2 linked regions of the Oryzias latipes genome follow. The protein of the gene in region 1 interacts with the protein of each later gene in a pairwise test. Links are inferred from orthologs where the notes say so. Each region holds a gene or a part of one and is shown on either strand. Other genes may lie near its edges. The genes, in order: janus kinase and microtubule-interacting protein 2 and clip4.

Evidence for each region.
Region 2: the proteins of janus kinase and microtubule-interacting protein 2 (region 1) and clip4 interact in binary tests that used the Homo sapiens proteins (3 or more experiments, as listed by UniProt). The two-hybrid records come from large-scale screens. The link is inferred for Oryzias latipes from reciprocal best matches to the Homo sapiens genes JAKMIP2 and CLIP4.

What each region holds. Positions count from the first base shown.
Region 1 is NC_019872.2:5,582,719-5,586,543, forward strand, and holds part of janus kinase and microtubule-interacting protein 2, read left to right. Parts: intron 1-24; coding exon 25-267; intron 268-1,321; coding exon 1,322-1,531; intron 1,532-1,683; coding exon 1,684-1,782; intron 1,783-2,355; coding exon 2,356-2,502; intron 2,503-2,569; coding exon 2,570-2,710; intron 2,711-3,825.
Region 2 is NC_019880.2:28,201,396-28,205,220, reverse strand, and holds part of clip4 (CAP-Gly domain-containing linker protein 4), read left to right. Parts: intron 1-1,703; coding exon 1,704-1,843; intron 1,844-2,082; coding exon 2,083-2,176; intron 2,177-3,825.

The sequences.
Region 1 (3,825 bases):
ACACTGTATCTTTCTGCTCTTCAGGTGCGTACCGCACTCACGTTGGAGGCAAAAGAAGAGGCGCGCCGCTTCTTTGACCAGGAAAGAGTGAAGCTCCTGCAGGAGATCGCAGAGCTGAAGTCGTCTAAGAAGCAGACCGACGAGGCGCTCAGCAACATGATCCAGGCAGACAAGATGAAGGCTGGGGACCTGCGGGTGGAGCACCAGCAGCATCAGGAACAGATCTCCAAGATCAAGTGGGACTGTGAGCGGGACATTCGCAGACTGGTATGCACAAAAATGCTTGAAATAAAAACCAATCAATTTGAAACAACTGAACTAAAATGAAAATACACTCTTGATGTGGAATATTCTTGGTGCATTGTCTTAACAGTTGAAAGGCAAAATTCTTATTTAAGATACTTCTAGCAAAAAAAGCTCTATAGGTAAACAATAACGTGGTTAAAAAAAAAGGTAAAAAACTATGATTTCTAGAGGGGCAACCAATCTTGGCTGAACTGTGATTCGTACAGATCAGTAGCCACGATTCGAAACACAACGTGTACGTAAGGGTTAATGGCCGACGTAGTGTGCATTATTACTTTTTAACGCACGCCGTGGAAGGCTGAACCGTCCGACGGATGCTTCCACGAAGTGCGTTAATGGCGAAGGCCATTAACCCGCTCATGCCATGGTCACTTACAAAAGCAATACATATTAACCAGTTTCAAGATTTGGCGATATATATATATATAATGCTGATCTTTCCGATGGGTTGAATAAAGCATCAATTCAGAGAGAAAGTTCACCTCTTACCGCTTGTTTTTTTTCCAAATGATGAAGCAAAGGGTTGTTTCAAAGAAGTGATACAAAACATTGAAGCTAGGTGACCTGAACTTCTTTTTTCACCATGCGGTTATCACTGTGGTATCACTTTTTAATGTACACCCAGCAGCCAATCAGAATCGAGTATTCACCCGGACCATGGTATAACTTGACTTATTTTATTTTTTACTGGTCCTAAAAAGCTGTGAAACAATCCAAACTGAGTTTTATGATCTGTTGCACCCCTAATGAAATTAGTACTAAAAAAATCTAAATAACTTAATTAACAAAATCTCCTGCCTGATTACTAAAAAATTCAAGAAGCAGATTTCTTGTTTCTTTGCCTATGTCATACTTTTATGGCCTATGAGCTGTTAAGACATGTAAATGTTCTGTGGTCTTTGTGCTTATTCTGATTCTGAGAACTGGTTCTAATTTTACTTTGCCGGTTAAATCAAAACGAAGACAAAAACTGGAACATTTGATCTAATGACACCAGTATTTTTGTTCTTTCTAGGTAGATGAAATCAAGGCGAAAGATCGCACCATTTTTGCTCTGGAGAAGGAACTGGAGTCAACGACAGGCTTTCTGCAGAAGCTGCAGCTCCAGAAAGATGCTCTGGATGAACAGCTGTTTATAGCCAAAGAGGCCGAGTGCGGCCTGGGAAGTCCCAAAAGAGAGATTCCAGGCAGAGCTGGAGATGGAGCCGAGCACCACGGCAGCCCTGTACGAACAAAGCCACGCATTTTTGGAGCCAGTCAAACATTCACATTATTTCAAATAAACTATACTAGCCTCTTATTTTAACTACCTTTTGTATGATGTCTGGTCATGCGGTAAACCTGGATGCCTTTTTTTCCCTTTTTAATTCACTTTAGGACTTGAGGAGGAATCAGAGGCGCATTGCTGACCTGAACTCAACCATACGGAGGTTGGAGGACCGCAACTCACTGTTGGGCGATGAGAGAAATGAACTGGTATGACCAAGTTCTACAAATAAAAGTGAAATCTAACCCATTGTTTCAATATTTTTGGCCTTAACCTAACATCAGGGGTGTCCAAGCTTTGTTCAAAGAGGGCCAGATTTGGTGAGGTGAAAATGTGTGAGGCCAACCAATCAGCCTGCATGCTTTGAACATTAAAATATAAATGAACAATTTCACAATTTTTTTTTTCTTGCGCAACGGGATCATTGTCACATCTGGGTTCACATGAAATTTCACATATTATTCTCTATTAAGTACTAAAAATAAATCATGTGAACAGGAAAATAACAAATAGTGATATTAAACTGAAGTACAAACTACTGTAGTTTTGATCAGAGAACAAAAAGAGGCTCTGAAGGTCAGGTTGGTGCCACAGGTTTAAAAACGCAGTTTAGTCAATCACAATCAAGAAATCGTGGTTCTTAGAAAGTGCTGGGGCTGCATATTTATGGCAAAAGCCCAAGGATCCTATTTGGCCCACAAGACGGACTTTGGACAGGCCTTTAGACTACCCATCTTCTGACTCCTGGTCATTCCCTTTTTTTTTATGTCTCTCTCTACTAGCTAAAGCGCGTTCGTGAAACAGAAAAGCAGTGCAAGCCTCTGCTTGAAAAGAACAAACTGCTGAGTAAAAGAAATGACGACTTGACGATGACCATCCAAAAATTGGAGGAGAAGCTGAAGAACCTGACAAAAGAGAATCTGGAAATGGTTCGTACGCTAGCATCCATAACAGATTTATAGATTTTGTGATCTAACATCTTGCATGCTCCTGCAGAAAGAGAGAATGAGCTCCCATCCTCCTCTCAAGAAGCTAAAGTCACTGAATGACTTGGACCAAGCCCACGATGACCAGGAAATCACATTTCTGAAACTTCAAGTCCTGGAACAGCAAAACATGATTGATGAACTTACACGGGTAGGTTTGACTTTAAATGATTCTGATTCTGATTCTGATTCATTTCAGAATCAGAATTTCTGATTCTGATTCTGAAATGACTGGAATTTAATCGCCATTTTCTCCAGCACTTCTGCCAATTTTCAGTGTGACGGAAAATTTAGAGAGACTGGTTTTAGAACCAATTTTGTAACCCTTGTGCTATCCTAGGCACTTTAACATTGGGAGTTGGGTCATTTGGACCCCACTAGACAGTGCGCTGAACTTTTTTAATCAGTGATATGTGATCTTCAGTGGTGTCTATGGATGACATGAAATCCTCTTCACCTTTATCCACCTTTGTCATGGTAGGGAGAACACGTCAATGTAAGGGTGGGGTCATCTAAAATAGCACAAGGGTTAAGTACACCAAGACCCCTCTGTTCAGCTGTTTCTCCCAAGTGTTGTGAGAGCTTTTTCCTCACATTGTGAATGAATTTCACTGTATTTTATCACAATAAAGAAGATACTATTATCAGTAATAAATTTTCATGGCTCTTCTAGTAAAACAACGGGGAAGACATCAAAATTGCTTGTTTTTTTAATTTATAGTCTTAAACAGGAAGAAACAAGTTCCATGAGCCACACAAACTAATACTGAAAGGGCGGTGCTTGCCCAAAGCGAGTGCTGTCCTTCCTTTAGGCCCTGTTTAAAGAGAAGACCGTACTTAACATTGTTCACAAAAACAAGTGTAATCGAGTTCTAGCAATTATCTCATTCAGTCTTTTTGACATAAGAGAAAAAAATTTCGTTTACAGCCATTTGTTGACTGACTTATTGACAAAGCATGTTTGCATGTTAAGGCATAAAAGCAGATCATCATCATCAGAGTGTCTTCTCCCTTCCCAGAAAACTTTTGTTCTGAGAAAAACAAGCAGATTGATTAAAATTAACATTTCATCCAAAGTAATTCAGTTTTTATTACTACAGGGTAACGTGATGATAAACCTGCTGGATCCATACATGACAACTCACCTGTAAACTGACAAACAGAAGTGGAAAAACCTCCTCTTCTTAAATTTAATTCTGTTGAAATCAGAATTTTATCATCCACTTGAATTTTTGTTAGATGTATTTTAAGGTGGAGTTAGATTAA
Region 2 (3,825 bases), on another chromosome or scaffold:
CCCACTAGGGTGTCAAGTTTATGAACACATTTTTTGATAAGCGTGCAAATGTGACGCACGTCGAAAGTCCAACTTGAATTTGACGCACGATTTGCTGTGGTGCTATCAAGGCTGTGATGAGTTTTGACCTACATCATAAACTTCAACTCGAGTTAAGACACTTCAGGTAAACAAAACTCTGCAGGCATTTCCCCACTACAGTGTTCTCTTGCTATATCACGGTTCACCTTGTTTTTTTGTTGTTGTTTTTTTTACAGGGCCTGAATCTTGTCTGGATGTATACATTGTCAATCAATCTCCTCCTCCTCAATCTCCTCCGTTAAAAGCAGCGTGAAAAAATCCACCATCACCAACGGGTTTGCAAAAGCTGGTCAGCTGCGTGACGGAGAGAACAGCGCATGCTCAGGAGTGAATTTACCTCTGAGTCATAGTGACTCGGCTGGCTGCACGTAAATATGTGGGAATAACATCAGCCTTTATTTTGTCGGGACACGACTGGAAACACAAATCGACGTGATCATTTTTACGGTTTTTAAGGACTGAGCAGAATTTTGCATTGAAAAGCTCACAGCCTCTGTGTGAGCTGGAGACATGTTCTCCTGCTGCTCATCACATAGAGCTGCGGGGTCGATGGCAGTCTGATGGCTCCCCCACGTTACAACGCATCCGCCCCTCATCTGCAAATCGTACAGCATTAAGTCCGATTGCTCTGCACAGACACGATTTGCTCCTCCCTGGAGCCGCCCTGGCCAGAGGTGTCGGAGATGGGAAGGGGAGCGCGCGGGGTGAGCCAGGAGCGCAGAGGCGACCGCGGCGCAACAGTGTTTGTTGTGGAAGGAAACTTCTGACGCACGTGCCGCGCTGAGGCGCGCTTTTCAGTCGCCGCTGCTTTATTTTACTGGTGTGTTTTTTTTAACCAGCCCTGTTACTCCCATAACGCTGCCGCGACACAAGCAGAAGGAGAGCTTTTCCCGTTCACCCCTCCATGCACTGCTGATACTTGCTCATTCTTAAACACGTACAACAATGTGGCGAGGCCCCGCCTTTAGCCCCTAAGACTCATGGGAAATGGGGGATCGCGGATGTAAATTTCCTCATCATAACTGAGGGATGTAATGTTGATTATATGGTTACTGTTTGTAATTTTATGTATGATACCTAGATTGTCAATAAGTAAAAAAAACTAAAAATAAATAAATAAATAAAAAAACCATAACTGAGGAACTTGTGAACAGAATAGAGTTCCATGCTTTTTAGCAGGTGTGGGTATATTCAAAGTGCATGAGCCCAAGGCAAGGCTGACTCCTCCCACAGTGTGGTTTTAAACCTCACTCAGTTTGGGAGTCAGGACGTGATTGGTCAGGTTTACTATGTTGCCTAATGCGTGCGGCTTTTACTCCAACGCGGCTTGTGTATGATTAAAAGCAGTTAAACACGTGAAAATGGGTGGGTGCGCTTTGTAGTCCGGAATTTACGGTAATAGCTGTTCATTTCTCCATAGAAGTCTATGGGGTTTTGGCTTTTTAGGACCATTGGGTACTTCCTAATTGGAACGGGAGTAGGGAAGGGTTGTTCAGTCCCATTCTTATTTTACTGTCATTGAGGGTAACTGATCCTTACATGAAATCTAAGCAAAATGAAAGGTTTGATTAGAGTTTATATGTTTACATATCTGTCATTTCTGTGTCTCCCATCACTGCCAGAGTTCTCCTTCTTCAATCCCAGCGAGCCACAATGCAAAGAGATTCTCCAGGATTCAAACACCACCATACCAGAGCTGTTTGCTGTCCTCAGGCAGTGGGTTCCCCAGGTTCAGAAAAACATCCACCTTATTGGCAGTGAGGTGATTATATAATATTTTAAACTCTTTGCCCCCCCCCCCCCCCCAATGTGATTTACTAAGTATTTTAATTGTTAATTCCGTTTCTAATAGTCTCCCATTGCATGTTTATTTTCCACATGGTCTTTATTCAGATCTTAATTCAAGCCCAGCCACTTGTCATTCATTAAATATTTGTGGATTAAATTTTTGTGACATTCGAGATCTCCTTTTGACTTGCTACATGTCTGGTCTTTGCACAGATCTTGAAGAGGGGCTGTGGAGTAAATGATCGAGATGGCCTGACAGATATGAGTCTTCTGCACTACTGTTGCAAGGCTGGGGCTCCAGGCATTGGTTAGTGCTGACTGTTGACCGAATCCGAATTCTTCCCCTGTCCCTTCTGCTTCTCCCTACCCCTACATTTAGCCCTCCAAGCGGAGAGATATAGAATAATAGTGTCCATTCGAATGTTACTAACTCTTGATGACATCATCAATAGTTGCTGGTCATCTACATTAGTGCGGAGCTGCCAGTGCTCTGAAAATACATAACATCAGTTTTATGACTTTAAAAAGTCATGCTAAAACAAAAAGTCATTACCGTAATTTCCGGACTACAAGCCGCTACTTTTTTCCTGCGCTTACAGCCCTGCGGCTTATTCAGTGACGCGGCTAATTTATGGATTTAATTAGCGGCCGCCATGTACGTACTTTCGAACTCAGTAAATAGTTTGAATTCTTTATCTAACACCAAGCACAAGGCATTTATATTCAACACACCTCTAAGCAGCCAAACAGCATGGACTTGACTTCAGGTCTTAGACACTTCAGTCATGGTTCAACAAAATGAAACACGCATGCCCGGCCGCATCCCAGAATCCTTTGGTGCCATTAGACCCAACGTGCACCAGATCGCCGTTACAATATGATGAAGCTTTCAAGTTAAAAGCAATCGTTAAAAGCAGCGTAAAAAAGTCCACCGTCACCAACGGGTTTGGAAAAGCCGGTTTGCTGCGTGACGGAGAGAACAGCGCATGGAGTGAATTTACACTCCATTTACGGTTTCTAAGGAAACCGTAAAAGCGGAATTTTGCTTTGAAAAACTCACAGCCTCCGTGTGAGCTGGAGACATCTTCTCCTGCTGATTGAGCTGCGGGGCCGATGGCAGTCTGAAGGCTCCCACACGTAACAACGCATCCGCCCCTCATACACAAAACGTACAGTATTAAGTCAGATTGCTTTGCACAGAAACGATTTGCTCCGTTCACCGGCGCAACGGGGACGAAGTGCTCCTCCTTGAAGCCGCCCTGGCCAGAGGTGTCGGAGTAGATAGGAAGGGGAGACAAGGAGCGCGCGGGGCGGGAGCGGAGCGCAGAGGCGTCCGCGGAGTGCAGAGGCTTCTGAATTCTGACGCACGCGCCGCACTGAGGCGCGCGTATCACGCTGAGGCGCGCGCTTTTCAGTCGCCGCTGCTGTATTTTACCGGTGTGTTTTTTAACCAGCCCTGTTACTCCCATAACGCTGCCGCGACACAAGCGGAAGGAGAGCTGTACCCGTTCACCCCTCCATGCACTGCTGATACTTGCTCATTCTTAAACACGTACAACAGAATGGCGAGCCGGGCATTGGCCCCGCCTTTAGCCCCTAAGACTCATGGGAAATGTGGAATCGCGGATGTAAATTTCCTCATCATAACTGAGGGATGTAATATTGATTATATGGTTACTGTTTGTAATTTTATGTATGATACCTAGATTGTCAATAAGTAAAAAAAAATGAAATAAAAACACCATAACTGAGGAACTTGTGAACAGAATAGAGGTCCATGCTGTTTGACAGATGTCGATACACCCAAATACGTGACCCAGAGGCAAAGCTGGAACCACCCACAATGTGCTAATGAATTGCACTCACTCTGGGATACTGGCCGTGATCTGTCAGGATGACAATATCGCCTAACACATGCGCGGCTTGTACTCTGACGCGGCTTGTGTATGCATAAAA